4 linked regions of the Canis lupus familiaris genome follow. Each later gene encodes a partner of the first gene's protein in a complex. Links are inferred from orthologs where the notes say so. Each region holds a gene or a part of one and is shown on either strand. Other genes may lie near its edges.

Region 1 (6,542 bases):
CTCCCTTCTCTAGTCGCCCTCCCCAGTGTTTTTCTCCCCAACCTCTGCTCTCTAGTCCCTGCCCCTCCCCTACTACCATCTGACTTCCTCCTAGCATGTTTCTGCATGGAGCTGACTGGGCAGGGGAGGGGTTCCTCAAAGAGGAAGACAGCCTGGGGGTGTGGTACCTCCTCTCCTAGAATGGGCTCTGAGGTTTTGCTTCTAGGGTCCAGGTGCCGGTGTCTGGGAACTTGCACCAGCCGGTCCCCATCTTGCTTCAGGGTGATCCTTTGGCCCTGGGGCCCAGGTGGTTGGCATGGGGGGGGGGGTGTCGCCTGCCCCATTGTGCTGCTGTAGCAGAATAGTCATTTCTTCTTCCTTCTGCTGGGCAGCTTGGAGGTACCCTAACCCAAATCTCTGTCTTCTCCTGCCAATGGCTGACAATAGCTGTAGGTGTAGTTGAGAACTTTTCTGCCTCCTGCTGTGTTCTTGCTGCTCAGGGTAGGGTGGGGGGCTAACAGCTGGTGGGAGGGGAGCTGGGGGCCGAGAGAACTGGGCAGACTCAAGGTGGCTCCTCTGCAAAGCCAAGGTTGGTTTCTGCGGGCACATACCCATGCTACCTTTGTGGTCCTGTGGTCTCCTGGCCCCTGGTGGACCCCTCCCCTTGGCCCTACTCCCTGGCTCACCCCTTTCTCCGATCCACAGAGCTCGTCCGTATGGTGCTGAATGGCTGAGGACGTTCCTGGTGTGCCCGAGCCCCGTGCCTTCCCCCGTGTGAGACTGCATGTAGCCCCGAAGGCGTCCTAGGTCCTCTTGTCACAGCACCTTTGCCAGCTTGTCTCTCTTGGATATTTGCTATCAGCAGTCACCAAATAAACTTGCTCTGTGCCCTAAGTACGGTTCTGCCTTCCTTCCTGAGCAGGGTGAAGGGGAGGAAAGACCATCCATGGTCAATAGACCAGGGGTCAAAAAAGCTGGGGAAGGGCTTGGGGGATCCATCTTTGTGTCATTTAAAAAGTACTGGCCCCATTCACTGATGTTCCAGAGGCTACCGCTTGGGGGAATTAAGGAAGCCATAAATCCCTGTAGGACCAAAGGCTGGCCATCCTCGGTCTGCCTCCTTTCAGGAAGTCCGCCTAGCCCTCCCATCTGGTTAAACCCAGCCGTCCCTCTCCCAAGCACTGATGGCCTTTTGTGGGGGAAGCCCAGGGAGTGTTTAATGGAGCTAAAGCCAGGCCATATTAGCACTGCCTGAGCCTGTCACCTCGGTAGGGCTAGTGGCCAGTAATAGAAGTATGTGACTTGCCTGCCTTCTTCCTGCCTAATAAGGGAAGGAATGAAGCCATTACTTCTGAAAGGATAAATATACAAAATCTCCAGGTTGGGAGGATGTCCTTCCAAGTCTCAAACAGCTATTTTTAGGGCAGGTGAGAGCCTCTGCCCAGCTCCCAAAACAGTGCACAGTCCTGACAGCTGTGCTGCCTTGAGCCTGTTGTGGAGAGAGGCCTAGTGCCTGCGTGTCTATGGGCCGTCCAGTGCCTCTCCAGCCCAGGCGAATGCCCCTGGAAAGGCTGCCCCCAGCCCCAACCCCCTGCCTGGCAGCCACAGGTCAGAGAACACAGAAGGCATTCACAAGATGGAACTGAAAGCAAATTAATTTATAAAAAAAAAAAAAAAAAAAAGAAAAAAAAAAAGAAAAGAAAAAGGAAAAGAAAAAAAGGAAAGAAAAAAAATTTACAGAAAACTTTTGAACAGAAGAAAGGTGCCGAGACGCAAAGGAAGAGAAACACGGGGACGTGAGCGACAAAGGCCCGGTGGCAGGGACCAGGCAAACTAGTGGAGAGCCCGCCTGGGGTCCTGTCCACCTTCACATCAAGGATGAAGAAGGGAAAGATGGGAGGCCGTGGAATCCAGGGGGCAGAGCCAAGCTGCAAGCTGGGGTAGGCACTACCCTAGGTTGGGCACCCCTCCTCCACTGTCTCCAAATCCCAGGGAACCCCAAGCTACCAGTCAAGGTTCTGATGGTCTCGGTGGAAAAGGGAAGAGGTTAGAGGGGTGACCCACCAAGTCAGAAGAAGGAGGTGCTTAAGTGCTTTTTGAAAAATGCAGGTTTTTACAGCTCCACAGCTCCCCATCCTCTCTAGCTCCCCTTTCCATGTCCTCTAGGCGCCCAGTGACAGGGCCCAGGGAAGAGGAACGGTGCTCTTCCTTCCTCTATTACCTACCACAGGAATCCCCAAAATATGTTTCCCCACCAAATACACATACGCTGACATCAACTACGCAGGTGACTTTTAAAAACACAGAACTGACATTTGGGGGGGGGAAGGGGTCATTGGCTGAGTTGGGGTGACCTAAAACAGCAACACTGAGGAAGCACAGGAGAGATTAGTAGGAACAAACCGGAGATGGGGTGGCTGATGGGGTTGGGGAGTGGATTCGGTTACTAATGAAGGGCTGGAGGAGACAGACTCTGCACCCTACTCTATCCCCAGAGCTCTCCCAGAACCTTAGTTCCCCTTTCCTGTCACCTCCCTCCTCCAAAAAATGTAAAAGTTGGAATTTTTTTTTTTTTTTTTTTTTTTTTAGTGGGTGGAGGGAGCTCCAATGTGGCTTTTTTATCTCTCTACTTCTTTAAAGGGCTTCATTTTTTTTTTCATCCATAAAAAATGCAGTAGTTTTGAGGGGGTGCACCCTTAAAAGTGGTTAATTAGAACCTTGTATAAACACCTTTCCCCAGCCCTTTGAGGGCAGCATCCCCAATCCTATCCTCTCTCCCAGACATTAGAAACATCTTTTAAACAGAAGTCCGTGAATAATCCGATATAAAAATGCATGCCTCTGACAGGCATGATGGGGGCTTTGGAGGGGCAGGAAGAGCTTTCCTTACGTAGTGATGAACTCTCCAGGCTGGGGAAGGGTCCCAGTGGTGGGGAGAGGGCTGTTCCTGGAACCTTGATCTCCATAGGGGGTGAGGGAGAGAGATGTCTGGCTGGCTCCTCACTGTGGAGGTGGCACAGGGGTGACTGTGCCTGGGCTCGGGGCCGTGGGGTCTGGAGGCAGAGGGGTACCTGGGTCTGTGGAGAAAAGGAAGATGAATCAGCTAGGGTGAGCAGGAGAGGGATCCAGACCCAGGCCACCACAGACGAACAGAACTGGGCATGGCATGCAATGGGTGGGTAGGTGACCGAGGGAGCCTTTCCCCAAAACCCTCTCCCACCTCACACTGGGCAGACGGAAATACCCACAATCCTCCTGCCCCCAAGGGAACTCTCTAAATGGGGCATTTGAACGTGATAGGAACAAGCAAAGGGGATGCCAATCATCATGCAGACAGGTAGCTGTTTTTCAAGTTTACAACTGAGACGCTGTGCCTTAGGACTCCTCCGTGACCCACCAGTGAAAGGCCCCAACGTCATCCCAGAGGTGGCAGCTGCCAGGGTGGGGAATGGTGGAGGACAGCCAGAGAGGCCCTTCCCCCTGTGTTCTAATTTACCAGAGCGTTCAAAAAGGATTGTGGAAGTTCTATGACCTAAGCCCTTCCCCTAGCTGACCCCCATCCCTCCATGTGGACCCCTCTCCCTCACCCTCTTCCCCTCCAGGACCCTTCTCACCTGGCAGTGGGCTGGCACTGGGCAGGAGGTTGCCCTGAACAGCTGCCACAATGGCAGGGCTCTGGGCTGCGGCGGATCCGAGCCCCGGCCCGAGAGGCAAGGAAGATGGCATGGTGGTGGTCGCCGGCAGGTTAGGATGTAGAGGGTTCGCCATGGACACAGGCAGGTTAGGTGGGGGGAGAGTGCCCGGGGCAAACGGGAGATGGTGGTGATGCCCATGCAGGTTAGGAGGAGGGGGCAGGTTAATACTGATGGAGTCGGCTAGACTACCAAATGGGATGATGGATGGAGCAGGAGGAGGAGGAGGCGGCATGCCAAAAGGCAAACCCAAAGGAGCATTACCCGCCACGCCTGGGTGCCCGCTGCCTGGCACTGCCCCTGGCATCATTGCGGGAGGAGTTTGTTGGTTGGGGAACGGTGAGGGGCCTGGGAGCAAAGAGAAGAGGTCAAGAGGGTTAGAGGCGTAAGATCTCCCTTACCGACTCATTGTGCTAGCAAGGATCACCTAGCCACTCCTCAGCACCACCTTCCCTGACAAGAGAGTAAGCAGGTAAAGCCTTGGATGAGACTCAAAGATTTGGATGTGGGGAGGGAGCCCTGTTGGTTCAGGGGTAGAAGGGAGGAGAGCCCATCTGTAGAAATCTCGTCCTGTCACATATCCCTTTCAAGAGGGAATCCAAACATTCACCGGGGGCCCCCTGGTCAGCAGGAGTTCCAGAAGCCGTCACTTACCATGGGGTCCAGGGGGGGGAACCCCTGGTGGGACTGCCCCAGGCTGGGGGGCTCCAGCTGGTTGCTGCTGCTGTGGCCCCACGGCTGACCCTGCCTGCCCAATCTGTTCAGAGGGGCCCAAGCTTCCGGGGGGGGCCCCACTGCCAGCAGGAGCGGGGGCCACGGAGGCCGGAGCCATGGCCAGGCTGTGAACCGTGGGCGGCCCAGCAGTGCCGGTGGGTGGGACAGGCTGGGAGCCCGGGGGCAGAGCTGGCGGTGGCTGCTGCTGCTGTTGGTGCATTTGCTGGAAGTGCTGCTGCCGGGCCCTCATCTCGGCATACTTCAGCTGCTCCATGTGGAAGGCTTGTCTATCTGCCAGGAGCTGCTGCCTCTGATACTCCAGCTGCCGGTGCCAAGTGGGGACCGTTACCCACGTGCAGAAGCCCACGAAGGCAAACGCCCCACCGCCTTCTCCGTCCCGACAAACCCTACCTCTCATTCTGGCAGTTCCCTGCAGCAAGGGGGACCTTGGGCTCGGCCTTCCCAAGGGGGAAGATCTTGGGCTTGGCCTTCCCAGGGGCCCTGCCCTGCCCTCTCCGCTCCAGAATCCCCACCGCGGTGTCCGGCTGCCCGTGTGGCTTCTCACTGCGGTGGAGTTCATCTAGTGGGAGCCCTGACTCATTTCAGCTCCAAAGCTCGAAATCGGTCATGATTTTCACTGGGAAAATGCTTCCCGTTCCTAAGGTCAGCTCATGGTCTCTTCTTTCCTCAAAATTGGCAAAATGCTTACCAAGCGTAGGAAGCCATCCCAGATCAACTCTGTGGCCTCCGAGCTTTGCCTTTATTTCATTATCTCTCAGGACTTTTAATCTGAATTTGTCAGCTACTTTAAGCATTCACTGTTCTTGACGCCTCCATACTGGATATCGGGGTCTCCGGTTAAGCGGTAGGTTCTGCTAGGATCCCTGTCTTACATTTCTTTTTGTATCATCTCAAAGCCAAAATGGTTCAATACCATGTCCATTCTATACCCTTTCCTGTTCACCTCCTGGATCTGGAGCCCCTTCCCTCTCATCATCCCTTAAACCTGCTCGATCACTCGACGAATACTTATTTACCAAGAGTCTACGATGGGCCAAACACTGCTCAAGGACCTGGACCTGAGGCAATCAAAAAACCAACTAGAATCTCTGCCCCATGATGCCAACATCGTGTGGGACCTCGGGCTCCAGGCTTCCCCTGTGAGCCACTTGTCCTTAACTGCCCAGGGCTGGATCCTCCTGCCCCTCCGCCACGAAGCTCTGCCACTCTCAGGCTTTCTCCACTGCTGTTTACGCCCGTCCTCAACCAAGGCCTGGCCCAGTGTCAGGCTGTGGTCCTGGGCTGCACTGGCCCCCAGGGATTGCTACTCACTGCCTCTCGCTCCCGGTCCATGATCGTCTCCAACTCTTCAAAGTGCCGGAGTTTGATCTCCAACTTTTTCATCTGGGTCTCCACCAGCAGGGCCACCAGCGATTTGATCTTCCTCTCCTCCACAGCGGCCAGGTGCTAGGGAAGGCGGGGAGGGCGGCAGATGAGCCGGAGGGCCCCAGGGGAGACAAGTCCGGGAGAGAGCTGTAGGGTGAGGCTGACAGGTTTTAAGAAAGAACTTGCTGGGGGGATCCCTGGGTGGCTCAGCGGTTTAGCGCCTGCCTTTGGCCCAGGGAGCGATCCTGGAGTCCTGGAATCGAGTCCCACGTCAGGCTCCTGGCATGGAGCCTGCTTCTCCCTCCTCCTGTGTCTCTGACTTTCTCTCTGTCTATCATAAATAAAATAAATAAATAAATAAATAAATCTTAAAAAAAAAAAAAGAACTTGCTGGGGGCGCCCGGGTAGTTCAGTGGCTGAGCACCTGCCTTTGGCCCAGGGCGTGATCCTGGGACCCAGGACTGAGTCCCACATCAGGCTCACCGTGGGGAGCCTACTTCTCCCTCTGCCTGTGTCTCTGCCTCTCTGTGTCTCTTGTGAATAAATAAATAAAAATCTTTAAAAAAAAGAAAAAAAAAAGAAAGAACGAACTTGCTGTGGTCACAACCCACAGAGTAGCAAAGACTTCTTATTCTTAAAAGAACATGAAAAAAGAGAGAGTGGCAAAAGATAAGGTCAAATAATTAGAGGATAGACACAGGCCTAATGGTAAAAAGCTTTAAAAAGGGGATCCCTGGGTGGCTCAGCGGTTTGGTGCCTGCCTTCAGCCCA
Region 2 (7,812 bases), on another chromosome or scaffold:
CCAGGGGACTGGGGACGGTGCACTGGACAGCCACACTTTGAGAAACACAATCCCTGAAGCTCAGCCCTCGGCCCTCCTGCCAGCCCCACCCCCACCCCCACCCCAAAGACGGAAGCATCTCCCAGAACCTGGGGACGAGGGGTGGAGAGAAGGAGCGAGCAGGTGACAAGGAGAAGGGCGCGACGGCCGCAGCCTCAGTCTCTACGGTGGGCACACAAAGGAACCGGACCAGTGCCCCCTCGGCCCACCTCCCCAGAGGGCATCCCACCCAGGACGGCTCGTTCCCGGCCGATCCTCCCTCCCTGCTCCTTCTAGGCTCGCTGCTCAGCCACCCCGTCCCTGGGGTCGCGTGGCCCGCCCCCTCCGCGCTGGGCCCCACTCACCTGCGGCTCCGCGCGGGGGCGGTGGGCACCGGCTGGCCCTGGCTCTGGGCCTGGCTCTGGCCGGGCGGGGGCGCTGCTCGCTTGCGGGCGGGCTCCATGCCCGCGGGGGCCAGGCCGGGTCGCACGGCGGGGCTGCCCATGTACGGGGAGCCCGGGGGGCCCATGGGCGCCCCCTGGTGGGGCATCCGGGCTCCAGACGGCATCCCGGGGCGCTGGGGGGCGGGGAGGGGGGGCGAGGGGCGGAGGTGAGGCAGAAACAGGCGCCCGCCGGTCAGCTCAGGGCCCCGGTTCCGGGCGCGCAGAGCCGCGTGTCTCCCACCCCGCGCCCCCCCCCGCCCCCCCGGCCGGTGACCCTGATGCCGCCCGCGTGAGCGAGGGGTGGGAGGGGCAGGGGCGCCGCCACCGCGCGGCTGGGCGGAGGGGGCTCTGCGTCTCGCCGCAGGAAGCTAACTGAAGCCAGGCAACTGCACTGGGCACTGCCAGCCTCGGATTTGCGGAAGGTACCGCGAAAATGAATATTAATGGCGCCTTTCAACCTTTTCAAAGGATGTTCACAACCACATTCTCCTCTGCAAGACGGACCGGACGGAGGGGGTCCTTCCAACCCCACTTGACAGATGAGGGAACCGCAGCTCAAGGAGAAAAGCGACCTAGCCAAGGTCACCCCGCTCCTCCTGGCCAAGGTGGCATGGAACTGCCGGTTCCCCGGGTGTGGGGGCTCTCTGGTCTCTGCAGCTTCATCTGGCTTAGAGGCTCTGCTCTCTGCTAGAGGACTTCTGTCCCTCTTTCCACTCCTCACCTCTCTGTCCACTTCCTGGGCCGTCCTGCTGGGCACTTGCCCTCCCCACTAAACCCATCCTTCTCTCTGGGCCCCTGCTTTCCACCCTTCAGTCTCAACCCACACCCCCCTCAGCTGATTCCAGGTCACCACACCCAGGGGCACCCCCCCCCCCCATAATTTACTCCCAAGGTGAAGGCTGGAGGCCACAGGAGCCAGTGAGGTCACACCCCACCAGGAGTCCCTGACAGGATGGGAGGCAGCTGGGCTGGAGGTGGGCTGCCCAGAGGGCTTGCAGAGCTCAAAGGCTGCGAGTGAGTGAGCGAGTGAGTGGCATTTCCTCTTCCATCCATCTCTCCCTTCCTGTCCGCCTGCATTGCCAGAGATGGTTCCATCCTACAGAACTCTTCCACTTCCCACCCCGCCCCAGTGAGGTAGGAAGCCAGGGCTCTGAGGGGGACATGGAGAGCAAGAGGAGGCAGGTGTATTCCCTTGCCACCTCAGATGGGATGGAGATGAAATGCAAATTCACTAAGTGTTTCACAGACTTTGAAAACCCCACTTGTCCAGATTCCAGAAGAGGAATCCGGGAAGGCCCAATGGGCTGAAAAGTGGAGGGTGGGTGTGATGGGGACAAAGAGAGCAGGAAGATTCGGGAACAAGGGATGCAGCCCCTGTGCCCTGCCACCTTTTAAACACTACCTGCTTTGCCCTCAGGCACAAGGAGGAGCCCTGAGCCTGAGCCCGGTGAATTCCTTCTAAATGCCAACTCTCCCTCCTGTCCCTCTGGCCCTGCACTTTGTCTAACCCTAACTCCCAGCCAGCCAGCTGTCTCTGTCTATCTCTCCCACAGTGAAAACTGCCCATCCGTGTGTCTGCCTCCCCCACCGCACCTGACCCTATCACTCATATCTCCAGAGTGGTGGCCCAGAATGGAGCCTAGGCCCAGGCCCACCAGCACAGATGGGGTACTGGGAGTGGAGTGGTGGGACTCACAGCCACCCAAGAACTGAAGCTGTAAGTTGGCAAAAAAAAAAAAAAAAAAAAAAAAAAAAAAAAACAGAAAAAACCCCACCAACAACAAAAAAACAAAACCCAAACACCACCAAAAAACCCCCACACATATAGCCCCCTCTCTCTCCTAGATGGGCCTTTTTAAAGGGACTTCACCAGCAGCATGGTTAGGACCGGCAACTTGGCTGACCGACATGGTCCTCCCTGGGAAGTTGCCTCAGAGATCTCTGGGACAGGAGAACAGGCTGCCCCAGGGAAAGCCCCTTTACCCAATCAGCTGCTCTCCCATTCCTCAAGGCCAGTGATAACTTGCTGATCTGCTGAAGAGACCCCGAGAGAGAAGCTTCCAGAGCCCCCAGAGAGCTGTGCCAACCAAGGGGACTACCCCAAAGAAGGGCCAAGATTCTAGGGACTTTGGTTTCCCTCATTGAGAACGTGCCTTCTTTGGGGTCACAACCAAATTTGGCCATAGTCAACTTGACTGCCTCCTCTGCACCCAGCTCCAACCCCAGTGGCCATTCCAAGCCCAACAATCTCTGCCTCTCCCATTCCGCTGCCTTCCACATCTCTACCAGCCTGGCTCCTGCTGCCTCAGCCTGAGGTCCCATCCCCTCAGGTCACCCTGGGCTCCCTTGGGCTCCCTGTGTGCCTTCCAAGTCCGCTCCTGGCAGGAAGGTGCCGCCCTGCCCCTTCGGTCTCTAGGCCTTACATCCCTGACTCCAGCCCTTCCTTCACACCTTTGAGGATTTAAAGACATCGGCTTCTGGGGGCTGAGTCTGCCAAGGGGATCTTCAGACCCCTTCACTTGGGGTCTGTCCCTGGAGAGGGTCTTTCTCTGACCCGGATGGCAGAAGCCATCAGCAAAGCCCCAGAGCCCTCCTGCCAGGATGCAGAGGTTGTTGGGGCAGAGAGCTTCCCGCTCACAGTGCCTCCAGGGTCACCTGCTCCTTCCTCTTGCTCAGAGAGACACAATCAGAGAGACACTGTCCCAATGGATGAGCAGACAACCCAGCCCACCCGCTGCCGTGTCCCCTGCCCCCACCCCCAGGGCAGGGGAACACCTGGGCCCACGAGGAAAAGAATAGAAGACAACACGTCTAGTACAGAGGGGAACCCCCCCACACTTGGGGCGGCAGTCCCCAAGTCCCACCCCCAGCCCCTGACAAGAACCCATGCAAAGCTTCCGTCCCCGCCCGGGGCACCCATCCCCGGCCCGCCGCCTGCCGCCTGACGACGTGTTCGAGTGCCAGGGCGCCGGCACAGTGCTGGGGCTGGGCCGCGGGCCGCGGCGCCCCTGCCAGAGGGGTGGGAGAGCGGGAGCCCCCTCCCGGCCCCTCCCGATCATCCCTCCATTCAGCCCGAGCCAGCTCGCTCACCCTCCCCCGCTAACTTTCCCCCACTCACCACCCCATGGACCAGAAACTCAAAAAGTTTGCTTTTCGTGGCTTTGCGCGCCCCTCCGGCAACTTCGTCCGCGGCCATCGGGGTGGGCTCAGCGGCTCCTCTCACTCTCTCTCTCTCTTCCTCTTTCTTTCCCTTTTCTGCCTTTTTTTTTCCTCCAACTCTCCCCTCTGAGTCCTGCTGGGCTCTCTCACACTTCTACTCGAGCGGAGTGGGGAGGGGGCCCCTTCAGGGCTGCCCTGACGGCCCACGGCCCACGCCGCCGCCGCCCGCCCGCCGCCGCCGCCGCCGCCGCCGCGGCTGCCGCATTCCTGTACTGATAAGACAGAAATAGTCCGGCGGCCCGGGGTCTGCCTGTTGACTCGGCGGGGCCCGAAACGCCTGCCTTTGCAGCCCTCGCTGTCCAAACAGCGCAGATAAGCGGCGAGGCACGCCGGCGAGCCCGGCTCCGGGGCGCTGGGCAGCGGCACTGCAGCCCGAGGCCGCCCGAGGGCCGCGGGGAGGCGGCGCGGGGAGGGGACGCGAGGGGAGGCGGCGGGGGGCTCGTCGGCCACCCGGGCTCTCGCCACAAATAGTTTCTCGGTTAGGGAATTCGCCGGCAGGGCCAGGCAGGGAACAGGCAGTTCCAACTGTCCCCCAAGTGGGCTCCTGCTGCATTTCTGAGGCCCTTTCCCCAGAGACCTGGCAGGCCAAGTAGGGAAACATTCTCTGGAAGGAAGGAATCCGGGGGGGGGGGGGGGGGGGGTTGGGGGGGTTGGGGGGAGGCCTTCCTCCTGCACCAGGCCGACAGCGGTGGGTGTGCCCGGGGAGGCGCTGTCCCCTCGCGTCCACAGATGTGTGCGCCCTTGTCTCGCCCGCCGTGTGTGTCTGCACCCTGGTGTGGGCATGGCTCGGTGGCTGTGGGTGTGGATGTTTATGTGCGTGCACAGACAAATGCCTTCTCTGTGTGCCTCCCTCCACGAGAGCCTCGGGTGCGTGCGCGCGCTTGCGGGTGCGTGTGTGGCAGGACACGGCCTGTGTCTTCCAGCTCCGTGTGAGTCTATTTCTGGGTATGTGAGTCTTTGTTTGTCTCTATGTGAGAAAGTGAGGGCAAGAGGGGAAGTATTTCGGAAAGGGGAGGTGGATCGGACTCATGAGAACAGGAAGAGCAGCGAATGTGAGGGAAGGCGAGGAGCTGGGGTGGGTGCTTGCGTGGATGGATGGAGAGAATGGGGCATGAGGTGGGGGGTGGGGGGACCCAGAGGTGATGGGGCTGCTGGGTATAGGGGAGGGCGGGCCGCAAGACCCCCAGAGAAAGCAGGGGTAAGTGTGGGATTGGCTGAGGGAGCCCCAGAAGAGGCAGTGTTCAGAGAGCTGGCAGTCCCTGGGGTGAAGGAGGGACAAATCCTGAGATCCCCAGCCTGGGAACCATAGCACCACCCAGGCCCCCAATGGCCACACCCCTCTCTCCTCCTTCTGGAGGAAGAGCCCCAAGGCTTTGGGACCACAGTGGGTCAAGTTTGTGTGCTTCCTGGGGCTGCCCTGTCAGAATCCAGGTGAGGTGGGGCAATGCCTGGGGGAATTTGTTGGAAAAGTTATTTGAAGTTATACCCTAAAGACCCAGAATTACACTGAGGGGTGGGGGGGAGGTGTCCTGAACCTCAAACCCTTCAGAATGCCCTCAGAGGTCAGACAAAACCCAGGGAATGTTCTGCCTACAGTCCTTTTGCCTGCAGCCTGGTTTCCTTGGGCTCTACTTGTGCTCCTGGCTGTCACGGTCAGTTGGGTGCCCACTGTCAACCCTCTGAAAGGCCAGAGTGGCCCATGACAACCCTCCTTTTCTGGGGGCTTAGCCAGGAACCCAGAGGTCCTCTTCCTACCAAATCTCTACCCAGCTTCCCCTAGACTCAACCATGCAGAAACTGGGTCCTGCCAAGGTGGGAATGGCTGGGTAGTTGCCATAGGCCAGCAAGGTGGCTACTGGTGACCTGTGGAGGTAATCTCTCCAGTCTGCCCACTAACTTCCAAAACCCTTCACTTATCCCCATGTCTAAGCCTCTACTCCCATGATTCTTTTGCCTGGAATCCTTCTACTGCTTATCTGCCTGTCTTTTAAAGCCTAATGTGGGCCCCACCTCCTCCAGGAAGCCTGCTCCAGTTCCACTCCTGTGCACCAACCTTTCTCTTCTTTGAATACCCATTGCCATCTATGCTATGCCACAAATTGGCACTTGGCTGACCAGTGTCTGAGATGTTAGGTTTGGTTTTCCAAATGTGGCCCCCCTGACATCAGGGACTGGTCTTTAAGTACCACTCTCCTCCCCACTCCACCCCACGCTGGGACACGGGAACTTATGATCAAATAAATGCCTGCTCACACTTGCAACCACCCGAAAAGCTCAGTAGGCCGGTGGATGGAGCTCATACTCTGCCACTTACCTGAAGGTGTGAGTCGCCATGGGCACCCCTACGCACTGTGGGTGCTTCTAGCATGGACCCATGAAACCACAGACCTTAGAGGCTCTGGAGAGACTCGGGCTGGGGCAGACATTTTTAGGCCTTGTGTAAAGCTCAGAGCTCTCAACTCTCCAAGAGGTCTTTGGGGTAAAGAAGACAGCAAAGGAGGTGGATGGGCACCCCAGCTTGGGCAGCTAAGTTTCAGGGAGGATCACGAAGGAAAGTGGGGATACCCAGCATTTGGGAGGGGACGGGGCTTGGTGGTGGAGGAGATGGCAGGAGGTAGTTAGACCAAAGGCTCTGGCGATACCCAAGGAGCTGGTGAGCATCACTCAAGACCATAGCTAACTCCCTCCTGGGCCACCCCAGCATCAGGGTCTCCCCGACATCCCCCAGCCCCTTCTCTGGGAGACATCCCTCTGCCAGCAGAGACAACAGATATATAATGCATTCATGCCCCTCAGGCACACAGGGATGCAGACTCCAGAGGGACAAGGAGCCACCAGGATTTGCACACACAGGCACCTCTCCACCATCTCCATATCACACTCACAAGGGGCAACTGACGAGGCACCAGCCAGTAGGCACATCTGCGTGCTGCTTTTACAGGGGCAACCCTGGATGTGCAGACCCGGGGGAGCCCTCAGACCAGAGAGCAGAGGCGCAGGTGTGGGTGCACCGGGCCAGGACTCCCACCTCACAAAGGCCAGCATCCCCAAAGGCTCAGCCCCAGAAGAGCGGCTGGGCAGTGTCACCGCCACAGGTTCCGGCCCAGGGCAGGGTGGAGGCCCAGGGAGAGCCCCGTTTCCAGCCGCCGGGGGGGCCTTCCTCCCAGCCCAACTGGGCTCTTGGTCTCAGCGGCCGGCGGCCCAGGCCGTGCTCCGGGCAGACCGCGCGCGTGTCCGGGCAGAGGGCGGCCGCCCTGCGGCTCGGAGCCGGAGTCCCCCCTGCCGTCCCCCCATCGCTCCTTCCCTCCGAAGCACCACCAGCACCAAATGGCAAAGCGCCTCTCCCCGCTCAGGGAGAGATGCGCCGCGGCCGGCGGGACGGGCTCGGCGGCCCCCCCACCCCCCGCCACCGCCGCGCGGGAGCTCAGGGCGGCCGGGCGCGGGGGGCACGTCCCGGGCCGCGGCCGCCCTTCCTCGCCCTCGCCCGCCGGGGGCCCGGGCAGCGGCTGGAGCCGGACGGGAGCCGGCCCGGGCATGCGCACTGCGGCCTCCCTCCCGGTGAAGGTCAGCCCAGGGCCTAGCTGCAGGACTCGGTGGCGGCGGGGGAGGCGGAGGAGGGAGGAGGGATGCAGCGGAGAGACTTAACTCCTTCCCTGCGGGAAGACGGCCATGGAGGCTGAGGCCCGAGCCCGCCTTCCCCCCTCCCCGCCTTCAGCGAGGTCCTGTTGCGGGGACCCAGCTCTGGGGTTGGGGGGAAGGGGGGAGGGGAGGGGGGTAGAGAGCATGGAAGAAGGAGGCCAGGAGGAGAGGAGGGAAGCCGGGAAGGGGAGAGGGAGGACGCGAGGGAGGAACAAAGGAAGCCAGACTCAGGGGAGAGACCTCTTTCCGCTGCCCCCCTTTCCGTCTAGCCCGGGCAGTAAAGCTTTCCTTAGCGAAATGAAATCACCCTCATCGACTGGGGCGTCAGCGGGTGTGTTTGTGAGAGAGACAGAGAGACAAGAGAGGCAGAGCCGGTGAGACCACCTGGAGCTCTCAGGCTGAGGACCTCTGATTTCTTCCTTAAAGCCCATCGCTAAGTGCAGCCCCCAACTTCTCCTTTGGTCACCAAACCCCCGGGGCAGGCCAGGGGTCC
Region 3 (7,304 bases), on another chromosome or scaffold:
TAAATACTAGGATATTTTAAATGTCAGATAATTATGATCTTTACTCCAAGGAAACAAAGGATAAAGTTCTGTCTATGAAATAAATTTTTAAAAACCCATACTTGCCTGGTTATTGTTTAAAAGACAAAAAAAGATTTTCTTATAAATTGTACATATACAGAAAACAGAAGCTGAACCATAGGCAAAAGTGACAGAAAAGCCACCAGGAAAATAAAGCAAAAAAGAAGGAAGCTGACAGAGGGCACACGCCACAGAAGAGCAGCTAGTCAAGTGCAGCAGGCAGAGCTCCGCAACTCTGAAAGTCAAAGTTAAACTATGTCGGGGAGAGAGGCTGGTCAGGGAAGAAGCGGAGTCAGGGGCTTTTTTCTTCTACCTTGTACCCAGGGACTGACTTGGACAGTACAGAACGTTTGGAAGCATCTTTTCTTGGAGTAGCAGCTTTGTCCTTGGATCTCTGTCTTCCCTGGAATGGCTCCTCCTGGCCATCGGGAAGGCCTTCTCCTTCAGACACGTTGCCGGAGGAGCTGTCCTGGAGGTCAAAAGCACACACAGATTCCTTGGAATAGACACAGATTGAGAGTGACTTTGCATGCTACAGCAAAGATTTTGTTTAAGTTTTGAAGTTCCATCAAAGTAAAAATAAAAAAATAACTATAAATATAAAAAAAAGTTTTCTAGTGCAAACTGAAAGAAGTCATGTTAAAAATCACCTACCTGTCTTAGAAATATGACAGCACAAAGCTGATTCCATTTATACCAGCAAGTACCTTAAGCCATTGTTTTCTGACTTAACATGAACAGAATTGTCTGCTTCAACTGCTACTACTCCAAGACAGCTTCGACACCATTTGCCGTGTCACAAGGGGGCATTATTTATTTCGTAAAAAGTTGTTTAAAAACTAAATGGTCTTTTTGAACTTGGACACAGCAACTTCTTGCAAGATACATCCATGAAGGCAAGAGAAACAAAAGCAAAAATGAACTATTGGGACTTCATCAAGATAAGAAGCTTTCCCACCGCAAAAGAAAGTCAACAAAACTCAAAGACAACCTACAGAATGGGAGAAGATATTTGCAAATGACGTATTAGATAAAGGGCTAGTTTCCAAGATCTGTAAAGAACTTATTAAACTCAACACCAAAGAAACAAACAATCCAATCATGAAATGGGCAAAAGACATGAAGAGAAATGTCACAGAGGAAGACATAGACATGGCCAACAAGCACATGAGAAAATGCTCCGCGTCACTGGCCATCAGGGAAATACAAATCAAAACCACAGTGAGATCCCACCTCACCCCAGTGAGAATGGGGAAAATTAACAAGGCAGGAAACCACAAATGTTGGAGAGGATGCGGAGAAAGGGGAAGCCTCCTGCACTGTGGGTGGGAATGTGACCTGGTGTAGCCACTCTGGGAAACTGTGTGGAGGTTCCTCAAAGAGGTAAAAATAGACCTGCCCTATGACCCAGCAACTGCACTGCTGGGGATTTACCCCAAAGATGCAGATGCAGTGAAACGCTGGGACACCTGCACCCCGATGTTTCTAGCAGCAATGTCCACAATAGCCACACTGTGGAAGGAGCCTCAGTGTCCATCAAAAGATGATGGATAAAGAAGCTGTGGTTTATGTATACAATGGAATATTCCTCAGCCATTAGAAACGACAAATCCCCCATTTGCTTCGACGTGGATGGACCTGGAGGGTATGATGCTGAGTGAAATAAGTCAATCAGAGAAGGACAAACATTATAGGGTCTCATTCATTTGGGGAATATAAAAAATAGTGCAAGGGAATAAAGGGGAAAGGAGAAAAAAATGAGTGGGAAATATCAGAAAGGGAAACAGAACATGAGAGACTCCTAACTCTGGGAAACGAAGTAGGGTAGGGGTGGTGGAAGGGAAGTTGGGCGGGAGGTGGGGGTGACTGGGTGACGGGCACTGAGAGGGGCACTTGATGGGATGAGCAGTGAGTGTTATTCTATATGTTGGCAAATTGAACACCAATAAAAAAAAAATTAAAAAAAAAAAAACCTAAATGGTCTTAAGTAACTGTGGGTATTGGGTAGCCTGGGTGGCTCAGCGGTTTAGCGCCACCTTCAGCCCAGGGCGTGATCCTGGAGACCCCGGATCGAGTCCCACGTCGGGCTCCCTGCATGGAGCCTGCTTCTCCCACTGCTTGTGTCTCTGCCTCTCTCTCTCTGTTTCTCATGAATAAATAAAATCTTTAAAAAAAAAAAAAAAAAAAAGGACAGCCCGCGTGGCTCAGGCGTTTAGCGCAGCCTTCAGTCTAGGGCATGATCCCAGAGACCGGGGATCAAGTCCCACGTCAGGCTCCCTGCTTGGAGACTGCTTCTCCCTCTGACTCTCTCTCTCTCTCGGTCTCTATGAATAAATAAATAAAATCTTTAAGAAAAAAAATCTTAAAAAAAAAAACAAACTATGGGTATTTTTACTGAGTAATAAATGTCATTTAAAAAAGTTCTTCATGCACTCACTTGTACTCCATGTAAGTGTCAATATCGTCAAGCCTTTTATGACAGTATCTGACGTGTTTTAAATGTCGAGATTTAGGAGTTCAACATCTGATCATTTAATACTTCATTTGTTAATTTTAAATTTTCTAATTAAAATTAAAATGCTATATATTCATATAAATTATGAAAATTATAAATCAAAATATTTGGTTATCTGTAACTACGATAAATATCCTGAGAACTACTGGGAACATGAATGCATGTCTACATACAAAAAAACCAGATTCACACATTCACACGTTCACACATACCCTATCAATTCATATCCCTCATTTTTTTAAAAAACCACAAAACTGGTGGGGCACCTGGATATCTTAGTCTGTTAAGCATCTGACTCTTGGTTTCAGCTCAGGTCCTGATCTCAGGGTCGGGGATGGAGCCACAGTGTCCGGCTCTGCTCAGCAGGGAGTCGGCTGGAGATTCTCTCCCTCTGCCGGTCCCCTACTCCTCTAAATTAAACAATCTTTAAATATGTTCTTGAAAAAAAACCACACACACACAAAACTGGATTGTGCTCTGTGTGTATGCATGTGTTTTTTAATGGTTTAAAGCATTATGTGGGGTAGCCTGGGTGGCTCAGTGGTGGAGCACCTGCCTTCAGCCCAGGGCGTGACCCTGGGGTCCTGGGATCGAGTCCCACATCAGGCTCCCTTCATGGAGCCTGCTTCTCCCTCTGCCTGTGTCTCTGCCTCTCTTTCTATCTCTCATGAATAAATAAAGAAAATCTTTAAAAAAAAAAAAAAGCATTATGTGGATTTTATCACATCATTAGATATTCTTTATGGATTTTATCACATCATTAGATGTTCTTTGTTTTTTTTTTAAGATTTTATTTATTTATTCATGATAGACAGAGAGAGAGAGAGGCAGAGACACAGGCAGAGGGAGAAGCAGGCTCCATGCCGGGAGCCCGACACGGGACTCGATTCCGGGACTCCAGGATTGCGCTCTGGGCCAAAGGCAGGCACTAAACCGCTGAGCCACCCAGGGATCCCCTAGATATTCTTTGAACTTCATTTCTATCATGTAATAGATCACCTACTGTGGACATTAAACTTTTTTTTTAAATATATTTTATTCATTCATTGAGAGAGAGAGAGAGGCAGAGACACAGGCAGAGGGAGAAGCAGGCTCCACATCAGGAGCCCGATGTGGGACCGGATCCCAAGACTCCAGGGCCATGCCCTGGGCCGAAGGCAGCCACCAAACCGATGAGCCATCCAGGGATCCCCTGTGGACATTAAACTTATTCCTAATTTCCATTATAAAAAATACAGTTAACACTCCAATGGCAGGACACCTGGGTGGCTCAGTGTTTGGTCGTCTGCCTTTGGCTCAGGTTGTGATCCTGGAGTCCTGGGATCGAGTTCCGTGTCCCACATCGGGCACCCCCAAGGAGCCTGCTTCTCCCTCTGCCTATGTCTCTGCCTCTCTCTGTATCTCTCATGAATAAATAAATAAAATCTTTAAAAAGAAAACCAAAAACTCCAATGGCCATTTTTTTCCTAATTAAATTTTGTCCTTCAGATAAATTCTATTAGTGCATTTGCTAGGTCAAATTCTGTGCAAGTTAAAAATCTTGGTATATGCTGTTAAATGCTCTCCTGGAATGTTGGGTTACTTTTTACTTCTACAGGCAGAGTGAGGGAAAATTCAACTATAACATCATGCCCACACCACAGCTCCCCTTTTACCAATAAAAAAGGAGCTAAGTGGTACCACCACTTTAATACTTGAATAGCATCTTATTTTATGTAACATGTACCATTAAATAGGTTTTACAATTGTTGGGGACAAAAAAATAAACTGCCCATTTAATAGTAGCACATTCTCAGGTTCAGGTTGGCTATAATTACGTTTAAAAATAGCCAATTGCTAAATACATTATGCTAAATGAAATAAAAATCTTCTAGCAACATGTTTTTGCTCTCCTTCCCTTCCACAGAGCACACCAACTCTCCCCAGTCATGCAACTAAAGTTTGCAAAAAAAAAAAAAAAAAGAAAGAAAAAGGCATGCAAGAAAATGTACCTAATAACAGCACAACATACCAGTCACCTTCACATTTTCCTATAGGAAATCTAAATTACTAATTAAGCAATAGGAACACATGTTAATGTGCTCCCGAAACTAAGCCAGTTCAATAGGATTGCAAACTAATGTCCATGACCTTTCCTAACCTATTTGTGATAACTTTAAGGACAACTTTAAATACAAAACTTACCAAAGGCTATCCACAGCCTGTCTGCATCAATGCACATAATAAATAATTTTCTCAATGAAAGCGCTCAGGAAATTATATGCAACTGTCCTTTTTCAAAAAGGGTGGTGGTACAATTTTAATTCTACATTCTGGGAAAAAATTAGCAAAAACTCAAGGGGAAGGAGACAGCTCCTAGTAAAGATCAATGTTCCTACCGAAGTGCCTTTATGTTTCCGTTTCTCGTCGCCTCGACCATCCTCAGCATCATCAGAATCCCCGTCGCTGTCAAGGGCTGGGAGCTCAGGATCCAGAGGGGGCTCATAAAGCGCGGTGTTTAATGGCAGATACCGCAGCTCATCTGGTGAGTATCTGAGGATCAGAGAGACGATTGTCACTTGTCTTTTTACAATTAATACGAATGATCTAATTTGTGAGCTTTAAAGGTAGCCTTAACCTTCTCAATTAACCCCAAATACTTTTGGAAAATGACTACAAATGTAACAAATAAGTTTTCATTTTGTATCAAGTAAGGAAAATAAATGAGAAGCCTAAACGTTTTTTACACCAGGCTAAAAGTATATCATATGCATTTGATTATCAAAAGAGGAAGTCTCCCTCCTTTATCTTCAACCCAAAATAGAAAAAAAAAGTCAGCAGACTAAGGTAGAACTGTGGCAATTCAAGACTGTGCACAAAACCCATGCCTCCTGATCACTCCCACCCTCCCCTCACCCCATATCACTGCTTGTGGGTCCCCGTGGACTGCAGGACGATGCGTCCACCTCACAGGTGGATGTGATGATGACATCAGTCGACACACATGATGCACAGCAGTGGGTGGTACATGACATTATTTAAGAAATTTTTTTTAAAAACTTGTGATGCATGTACTCTAACAAATGTAATCATCACTTTTAATAATTTGCTGACCCCAAAGCGAAATTAAGATCTGCAACCCATGATTTAAATTGGACTTTCAAATAGTATGATCCTATAGTCTATTTTAAACACTGTTCTCTAAAGACCAGTCTCTATCCTCAAGAACATAAAGCTTAAAGGTGAGAGTTTTCAAACAAAAGGACCCTGTTAGCCTTATTTTCAATTACACCCAGGTTGGGAATGAGAGAGAAGCAGCCATCCCGGACAGAGTGGAAGCAGCAGCCAGGCCAGGGCAGTGACGTGGCCGGCACAACCAGGTGGCCCAGCCCGCCCTGCAGCCATTCTGCTTCCTCCTCGACATCCTCTGCAGACTGAGCCAGTGCTTCCCGGTTGGCAGGTCTGGGGTTGTGCCCGAGAGTCTGCACTCCCAATCAGCTTTCAAATGACACGGGTGCTGCTGGGCCATGAAGCACAATGTAAGGACCGAAGCACTGGTCCACCTGCATCTGCCACGGACACACGAACAGGTGCGGGCAGGGAGATGGGCAGCTCCAGCTTTGTCGGCAGATGTTTACGTTGTGGCTGAAGGGTGTTCTTCACTGATGAACCACAGAAAACAGGATACTGGCCCAGATCTCACACAACATCTCAAGGTGGTACACACAGAGCTCAACTCTTTGGAGGCAAGTACACAAGACTCTGCAGTCCCCCAGCAGTACCCAATAACGATGGTAATAAAACCAATGGATACCTTTTGTAGTATTCCTGGAACTGTCCGGGGATGAGGGCCACTGGGTAAGAACTGACCTTGGTTCTCTCAGTTGGTAACACTTTGTACTTCCCCTGAGGCACCTGGATGACCTGGGTTGACGTGAAGAGAAATACGTAAGTGATTCTATGCTGGGAATCCAGGTCCTAGGAACACAATCCTCCTGTTCTCCACCATGCTCCTTCCCACAAAAGGCTAAAAACACAGGAGACATTAGGAACTAAAACCCAAGGGGACAGTGGGGAGGTTTCTAGCCACACAGGTGAAGTTTATCTGGCTCTTCACCACAGCCAGCACTTCTGAGGGAAAGGTAGCCTGCTTCTGTTCACCAATGGCAAGAGCAGCGGGAGCTGAGCAACACATACAACGTCCTCATCTATGAAATGAGAACAATACTAGTTTCAACCTCACATGGCAACTGTGAGAATTAAGTGAATTAATATGAAAAAAATTTTTTTTAATATTTTTTATTTATTTATTTATGATAGTCACACACACAGAGAGAGAGAGAGAAAGAGAGAGAGAGAGAGAGAGGCAGAGACACAGGCAGAGGGAGAAGCAGGCTCCATGCACCGGGAGCCCGACGTGGGATTCGATCCCGGGTCTCCAGGATCGCGCCCTGGGCCAAAGGCAGGCGCCAAACCGCTGCGCCACCCAGGGATCCCTGAAAAAATTTCTTAAAACAACCCTTGGACAAGCAGCCACTATGATATACACCTATTAGTCTCATTCAGGAGAAATGTCAACCACAGAGCAAAAGACACCACTCTCACATATATACACACACACAGAAGTGAACAGAGCGTTACTAGCACATCATTAAAAATTATATCCTAAATTCTGGAGCAGGAAAGGACACATCGCTGGTACAAAAAACAAATACAAAAAACAAAACAAAAAAAACACACCACAATGGCT
Region 4 (7,917 bases), on another chromosome or scaffold:
GGAGGGAGGGGGCCAGCAGGGGGGAGGTCTCTAGGCCCCACTCTCTCTCTCCCCCTCTTCAGAAGGACTCACTATCACAGACATACGGCTTGTCTCGGTCCTCGAGGGAAGCGGTGTCCTGGCGTTTCCGGAGACCCCCGATGCCGTATGCCTGCGGGGGAAGGGGGGGGGTGAGCGGCCAAGAAACGGAGGGAACCGGAAGGGCTTTCACCTCGTGGGCCTGAAAGGTGACCCGCAGCTCTGCCACTTCCTAACTGTGGGCCTCCACCGAGAGGTTCAGCTTCCTCGCGTGTAGCGTGGGTATAAGGCGGCTCTCAGCCACTGGACAATCTCTGTTTTGCAAACGGTATAATGATATCTGAGCCTCGGTTTGCTCATCTGTAAAATGGGTATAAGATCCTCTACGAACCCCCTTCCCACCCCCACCCCGTCAGGCTTCTCTGGGGATTAAATAGGGTCAAACTGGGGCAAGGCCGGACCATTGTGTGTGCCCAGTACACTGGCTCTGCCACGGAGGGGTGGGGCGATGGAGAAAAGTTGAGAGGTAATACCTTTCCTTTGGCCCTGTTCTTCCTCCTGGGAATGTCATCCTCCAAGTCTTCCACCTCAAGATCATGTGGAAACTCCAGCAGCTGCTGTTTCTGGGCACCAGGAGAAGGGGGATCGAGGTCAAGAAAATGGGGGGGATGCTGTCCTGCTCTGGGGAAGTTCTGGACACCGCTGGAGATGGGGGGGAGGAGGGCAAGTCAAGAGGGGCTTCTAAAAAGAGACAGGGTGTGGGAGGATGGAGATCCAGGGTGCCCCAAGGCCCGGGGAGACTGCAGAGCAGGAACAGGATGTGCCAGGGCGGGTGGCAGGGATGAGAAGGCAGCTCAGGCCCCTGAGGGGTGGTCCCACCTGGCAGTCCATAATGGTCTCCTCCTCCTTCAACTCAATCTTCTTCTCCCCTGTCTCCGCACACAGTAGCGCCTCAAGGACTGGCCCTTCTGGGAGGCCGCCCTCCTTCTTCAGGGGTGCCTCACAGTCTGCAGACAAGGGTGGGGTCAGGGGGGTATGTTGTCCCTGGAGGATTCCTCAAACAGCCCGGGTCAGGGAACCATGCCCTTTGCTTCAGGACAGAGGCTTTCCCACACTCGACCGGCAACAAGACTCAAAGACTCAATCATACATACTGGGAAGGATGCCGAGACCCTGAGAAAGACACAGCCAGACCCTCAGATCCACTCAGACACACTCAGAAGGAGACACAGCCAGACCCTCACTTACACCTGGATGCATATGGAGAGCTACAGACACTCAAACAGGGCACACATGGAAAGTACAGATCATCTTGAGGCAGCCAGACACACAAAGGAAGAGATACACCCAGACACGCGGAGGAAACTCATCCAAGCCCTTGGATACACCCGGAGACAATCAGAAAGGGACATTAAACCATCAGCTCAACCTAGATCCACATGAGGAAGACGCAGCCAGACCCTGCCATACACCTGGACACACACGAGAGCGAGACAGACATACCTAGAGGGAATCACTCAGATGGATACACAAGGGGGAGGGACACAGTCCCTCTGAGGCAAACAGACACACCCAGAAAGACACAGATGGACACATAGTGTCCAGATGGACACTTCAATACACCTGGACCCACACAGACCCTTGGATACACCCGGACAGGAGAAGAGAAAGAGCCAGCGACTGTGACACTACTGGTCACAGTCAAAAGGTCATAAAGCCCAACACTCTGGCCAGACGAGCACACGTGGGCAGAAATATACGTAATACTCCAGCCACGAAGGGCTTCTCCCAGACATCCCAAAGCATCTGGACACTCAAAGGAAGAGACACCCAGACGCCCTGATACACCCAGACACACTCAGGATACCCTGCTAGACCAGACACACACAAGACTAAATAGCCCCTCTAGTACTCTTGAAAACACCTAGAAAGAGACACAGACACTTTGATATGCTCCCCTACGGATGGAAAGACACCCGGACACATCCAGACACACATAGGAGGCACCCATAGGAAGAAAGCCAGCGGGACCCTGATCCATCCCAGCTCGCCAGGGAAGGTACACCCAGGCACACACGAAACAGATACCACTCTGCCCACGAATACACCTGGGCCGGAGGAGAAGATACAGCCCAAGTCCAAAGCCCAGTCACTCGGGGGGAACTGGAGAACGTCTGGACTACACCAGACGCACACCTGCAGACAAGCGCTGGGAGGGAAATAAAGGCAAATGCTCAGACCTGCAAGGGCCTCACCACACACGCATGAGCGGGTGCTGGGGGCACTGATGGGGTCCCCCCCAGGCCCAGGATGAAGCTCCACCCACCGATCTTGTACTCGCAGGGCCGCAGTCTGGGGTCCTCCAGGATGTTGAGTCTCCGTTTCTTTCTCCAACAGCGCGCCGGGTACGTGTAGATCTGTCCGGGGGCCAAACCTGGAGTGAGAAGCGCGAGGGGCCGTGAGAACAAGGGGAAGGCGGCCCGCAAAGCCGCCGCCCCGCCCCGCCCCCACCCTCCGGGCCGGTACCAGGGCCGCGGTGGGTCTTTTCCATCCAGATGTAGCAGTTGTTCTGGGCCACGCCGGTCTGCGAGTCGAGGAAGGGCAGGCGCAGGCTGCGCTCGGCGCACAGGCGCGCGTTGTAGCTGCGGCAGTGCTCAATGGCCTCGCGGTAGAAGTCCTCGCCTAGGCTGCGAGGGGGCGAGCGAGCGGGCGAGTGGCTGTCAGCAAGGGCGCGAGCGCCAGGTGGCCCAGCAGCCCCCCTCGGCGCGCCCCTCGGGAGTGGGTGGGCCTACTCTCCCAACCTCCCCTCTCCCCCCTGTGCCTCCGGGACTCAGGCGCCCCCAGCCCAGGGCCCAAGCAGGCCTGGAGCCAACAGGCAGATAGATACACACCATACAGAGACGGACAAAAATACACCAGGACCCATCCCTACAGGCACGCGTCAAAATACTCAACACAACCAAACCACACAGGATTCACACACAAAGAGAGACATATCCCAAAACTCACAAAGGAGAAACAGACAAACCTCACATATGTGCACACACAAATATCTACTGAGAAAATACAAACATCGCCGTCCCATAGTGTAGAAACAGACACATCCCACATATATCCATGCACGAATACACCTCACATATCCAAAGACACACAACATAAACAAAGCACCCGCACAAAGACACACAATGTGCAGAGATCACACACACAGCACTACACACACATACACGCATCCAAAGACACACAGTGATACACAAATATTATGAGAAGAATGTTAAACTACCCACACATGCACTTATATACCCAAAGACACAACACAAACAAATTACACACACACACTCACACACACACTATCCAGACAAACTATACAAAGAAATCACACAGATTCACACAGGACACACACACAATCACAAAGATACACAACATAGAAACCAACATCTAAAATACCGCATATCCACACAAAGATACAACACAGAAACAGACAAATCCACCCATATTCACACAAAACTGTACAAATACATGCATGCCTACAAATCCAGACACAGAACACAAGCGATGCACAGTTCCAAAGGACATGTACGCACACTCAAAGACCCAAATATCCAAAGATACCTAGTGTAGACTAAAATAAATTAAACACATATCCACACACATATCAAAAACAAACAAACAAGTGACACGCACTCCACATGCCAAGACAAAGGTAGTGTGGACTTCACTCAAGTTTCCCAAGCCTCCCGCACCCCCAGACCGTTTCAGTCTCTCCCCAACCCCGGGGGTCGCCGGGCGGGACGTGACCCCCCTTCCCCCGAAGAGGACCCGAACAGGACTCCGAGTCCCCCACACCCTCCGCTCCTCCAGGAGCAGCGCATCGGACCCCGTTCTTGCCAGGGACCCACGATCACACACATCCGCACCCCCGCGCAGCACGGCCCACGGTGACAGCCCCCCAGACACCCCATCGGCCCCACCCCCGGCCGCCACACACGCACACACACACGCGCGCGCCCGCGCAGACCCGCCCGCGCGCCCTCTCCCGCCTCCCGCCGGCCCGCGGCACCTCAGGGGGCCGGGGATGACCGTGGCCATCTTGCTCCCCGGGTCCTGCCCCCAGCAGGTCCCCGCCGGGTCGGTCCTCCCAGCGCTCGGGCGGGCGCTGAGGCCGCCCATCCATTCATTCCCGCGGGGCGGGAGCACCGGGGCCACAGCCAATCAGGACGGCAGGGCGGGCCCGCCCGGGCCATGCTGGGAGTGGTAGTCCGGGCCGGGGGCCGGGCGGGACCCCGCGGGGCAGGGGGCAGGGGGCAGGGGGCAGGGGGCAGGGGGCAGGGGCGCGGCCCCGGGAGCGCGCGCGGTCACTCACGCGGCCACTCACGCGCGCCCGCTCCCACGCGCCCTAGCGTCCCGGGCACACGCTCCCACGGGCACACCTGGGCTCGCACACACCCACCTACGGCAGTTTACACACACATTCACACGTATACTCACAGCCTCCCACGCAGACTCACGCACACTTCCCTCCCACGCCTTCACAGACTCACATACATTTACACTCACACGAACACTCCGAAGCCATGAGACTTAGAGATACCCTGGAGGGGCCCGCACGGGCGTCCCACCCGCGCCTGCGCTCGCCTCACCGACACCTCTCCCTCCCGCATCCCCAGGCCCTCCCGGCTCCCAGCGCCCGGCCTGTCCGGTCCCCGGGCTGTCCCCGGCACGGTGACCCCGCGCGGGCGAGCCCGTCCTGCCGCAGGCCGGTCGCCAGTAAGGAGCTGTAGCCGCACCTGGCGGGTTCGAATCCCGCCTCTGCAACTCGGTGGCCATGTGGCCTTGGGCAAATGACTTAACTTTCCTGGGCCTGTTTCCTCACCTGTAAGATGAGGATGACACCTCATTGGATTGTTGTAAGGATTAAATGAGTAAATAGAGTGTTTTTAGTTTTAGTTTTTCCACATCCAGCAGGGAGCCCACCACGGGGCTTAAACTCACCACGGAGAAATCAAGACCTGAATTGAGATTGATTCGGAGGCCTAACCCATTGAGCCACCCAGGTGCCCCCCCATATAGTGTTTTTAAAAGGTACCCGGGGTGGGCAGGGGGGAGATGCCAGCGTGGCGAAGCAGTTGAACGTCTGCCTTTGGCCCAGGGCGTGATCCCGGGATCCAAGATTGAGTCCCACATCCAGCTCCTTGCAGGGAGCCTGCTTCTCCCTCGGCCCCTCTGTCTCTCTCTGTGTGTCTCTCATGCATAAATAAATAAAATCTTTAAAAATAGATGAATAAAATAAAAGGCACCTGGCAGGTAGTAGGTTCAGTAAATCCACTCCATCAAGGAGATCGGATATGAAGTCAGGTGTAAAATGGTGCTAGCCAACCACTACCAGAAAGAATAATGCCTGGCCCATAATAGATGCTCAATAAGTATTTGTTGAATGAGTAAATAAAAATATACTGGTACCCACCAGGTGCCAGACACAATTCTAAGTACTTCAACAGCCAGCAGCTCATACGATTCTCATAATGACCCTCCCAGGTGATGCTATGTTTACGCTCATTTTCCAGATAAGAAATCTGAGGCAGAGGGAGGTGAAACCACAGGGCCCTCAGCTCCTGGTGGCGCTTGACGGTGGGGCTAAGAGGATTCACTCATCTAGGTATCTGTACCCAGGTGAGTTTCACCTCCTTCTTTCTCCCTCTGTCACCAGCACAGACTGTACCCTAAGGAGTCCCCAGACAGCGAGCTGCCCCAGCAGGCCACACCAACACGGACCGGAACCCCCCTGGTCCAAAATTTGTGTTCCAGTATGGGCCCCCTCCTGGATAAAACCCCCACAAATGTCCTTGTCCACCAGAGGGCTCTGCAGCAGCCAGAGAGGCAGACTAGCCTTCACCTCTTTTGTCACCTGATGCCTCCACCTACCCTCTGGTGAGAGAGATGCCCTCAAGTTCCTCCAAACTTATCACCTCTACACACACACACACACACCACACACACACACACCTAGTGTTAGACCCCCTTCCACAAACTCTCCCCAGTCTCCCCAGGGTAAGGCCTTGACCTCCCCGCTTCCCCACTCCCAACAGGACACAGTGGGTCCCTGCTTCACATCTGGCCGAGAGTAGGGGGCAAGGGGAGTAAGTGAAGGATGCTGGTACCCCCACGCTCACTCTGGCCTCCAGGCCTCTATTCCGGCCACCTCATACCTCACCCCTGGTAAGCCCTACCCCTCCGCCCATCAGCTCAGCTCAGAGAGTGCCCGTCCTCGCACCTTCCTCTCTCACCTCCCACCACCCTCACAGATCCCCCAACACATTACACCTGCTCCCCACACCTCCAGCCTCAGACACCCCAGCTCACGCCTGCCCCACCCCAGAACCCTTACATCAATTTGCTCGGTTAGGGGCCTGAACATAGAATAGTCCGTCACCTCCCTGGAGGCCCCTGTCCATCAGCACAATTGACCCACCACCCGAGCTGTCGCTTCCCCCCTTTCCTTGCCCCTGGTCACCTTCACAGATCCGTCTCCCACACTTGAACTCCCCTGCCCACGGGGTCCTCCTAGCCCACCGCCCTCCCTCAACCCTGCAGACCCCTCAGAGGATGAAAGCAAAGAAGGGCACACTGGCGCTCTCCACCCTAACCTTATCCTGGCCTCCAGGCCCCCGCAATGCCCTATATGGAAACAGGACCACAGAGAAATCAATATTGATACTTCTAATAATAATCAGTACACTTAGTCAGGGTCAGGCTCTGAACCAAGCGCTTTACAAAGATCACGACAGCCCCTGGAGGTGATAGGCAGTTATGATTCCCCAATACTCAGATGGTAACACTGAGGCTCCGGAGGGGGGTGGTGAATTAATAGCTCAAGATGAGGTCTGGAACCAGGCAGTCAGAACCCCTAGGCCCGCTCCCACCAGCCTCCCAAGGGGATTTGGCTCCCACAGTCTTGCGGGAGCCGGATCCTACCCTCGACCCGGCGGACAGCTCAGCTCCACGGGAGAGCAAAGAAGGGCAAAGAAGGCGGCGGCCCTCCCGCCCCAGCGCTTCCTCCCGCCTCCTCCAGGGCCCGGCCTGGGGTCAGAGTGAGGAGGCCAGGAAGCCTGTGGAGCCACCAACCTGTACAGGAGCCCTGTCCCGGCCAGTCTGAGGGTGTCCCTCAGAGGAGCCACGTCTGTCTGTGTGTAAGACAGAGCGAGAGGGACGCAGGAGGGTGTCGGCGTCACACACCTCCTCCCGCTGACCCCAGCTCCACACACGCCCCGCAGCCTCTCTGGCTCCGCGCAAAGCCGAGGCACACGTGTAGGCGCGTGCCCGTGAACCCGCGCCCCGCGCCCCCAGCTCCCCCGCAGGCAGCCGGGCGCTGCTGGGGGCCTCGGGTCAGCCGTCAGCCCCAGCCCTGGGAGCGTGGGGGCGCTCCCCGCCCCTTCCCGGTCCCCAGCCGCCAGCGCCGCTCAAGGTCAAGGCGGCGAGCGCCAGGGGTTGGGGGGAGCGGGGCTGCGGGGAGGTCGCCCCAGCCCCTTTGTGCGGCGCCGCGGGCGTTCGCCCTCCGCCTCCTCCCCAGCCCCGGCGGAGGGGGAGGGGAGCGCCGCGCTCCCCGCCGGGGAGGGAGGGCGGGAACGGCCGCGCGCCTGTCACTCTGCGCCCGCTGTCACCGCCGGAGGAAAGGGGGTGGGGAGCGCTGGGACCCGGGAGTCCGGGATCCCGAAGAGGGAGCGGGCGAGCGAGCGAGAGATGGAAAGAGAGAGGGGAGAGAGGTGGCCAGAGCGAGGGGTGGCGAGGAGAGGGCAGGCTTGAACCCGGGCGTCCAGGTGCCCAGCCACCGGGCCGCGAGGAGGCCAGCGCTCGGAGCGGGGACGCGGACAGGGAGAAAGGGGGGGAATCCCCCGAGACTGAGGG

Evidence for each region.
Region 2: SMARCC2 (region 1) and SMARCD3 share a complex: the UniProt entries of both Homo sapiens proteins name them as parts of the BAF complex. The link is inferred for Canis lupus familiaris from reciprocal best matches to the Homo sapiens genes SMARCC2 and SMARCD3.
Region 3: SMARCC2 (region 1) and PHF10 share a complex: the UniProt entries of both Homo sapiens proteins name them as parts of the neural progenitors-specific chromatin remodeling complex. The link is inferred for Canis lupus familiaris from reciprocal best matches to the Homo sapiens genes SMARCC2 and PHF10.
Region 4: SMARCC2 (region 1) and DPF1 share a complex: the UniProt entries of both Homo sapiens proteins name them as parts of the neuron-specific chromatin remodeling complex. The link is inferred for Canis lupus familiaris from reciprocal best matches to the Homo sapiens genes SMARCC2 and DPF1.

The regions. Positions count from the first base shown.
Region 1 is NC_049231.1:832,499-839,040, forward strand, and holds the end of SMARCC2 (SWI/SNF complex subunit SMARCC2), read right to left. Parts: intron 5,853-6,542; coding exon 5,718-5,852; intron 4,708-5,717; coding exon 4,326-4,707; intron 4,020-4,325; coding exon 3,594-4,019; intron 3,057-3,593; coding exon 2,980-3,056; 3' UTR 2,255-2,979; downstream 1-2,254. Other genes in the region: MYL6 (myosin light polypeptide 6), read left to right, coding at 685-713. UniProt on the Homo sapiens protein: Involved in transcriptional activation and repression of select genes by chromatin remodeling (alteration of DNA-nucleosome topology).
Region 2 is NC_049237.1:16,011,916-16,019,727, forward strand, and holds the start of SMARCD3 (SWI/SNF-related matrix-associated actin-dependent regulator of chromatin subfamily D member 3), read right to left. Parts: upstream 4,040-7,812; 5' UTR 3,658-4,039; coding exon 3,580-3,657; intron 596-3,579; coding exon 384-595; intron 1-383. UniProt on the Homo sapiens protein: Involved in transcriptional activation and repression of select genes by chromatin remodeling (alteration of DNA-nucleosome topology).
Region 3 is NC_049233.1:72,425,434-72,432,737, forward strand, and holds part of PHF10 (PHD finger protein 10), read right to left. Parts: intron 6,479-7,304; coding exon 6,369-6,478; intron 5,108-6,368; coding exon 4,954-5,107; intron 530-4,953; coding exon 374-529; intron 1-373. UniProt on the Homo sapiens protein: Involved in transcription activity regulation by chromatin remodeling. Belongs to the neural progenitors-specific chromatin remodeling complex (npBAF complex) and is required for the proliferation of neural progenitors.
Region 4 is NC_049222.1:115,596,301-115,604,217, reverse strand, and holds the start of DPF1 (zinc finger protein neuro-d4), read right to left. Parts: upstream 4,195-7,917; 5' UTR 4,186-4,194; coding exon 4,076-4,185; intron 2,706-4,075; coding exon 2,545-2,705; intron 2,453-2,544; coding exon 2,345-2,452; intron 1,026-2,344; coding exon 898-1,025; intron 642-897; coding exon 552-641; intron 152-551; coding exon 73-151; intron 1-72. UniProt on the Homo sapiens protein: May have an important role in developing neurons by participating in regulation of cell survival, possibly as a neurospecific transcription factor. Belongs to the neuron-specific chromatin remodeling complex (nBAF complex).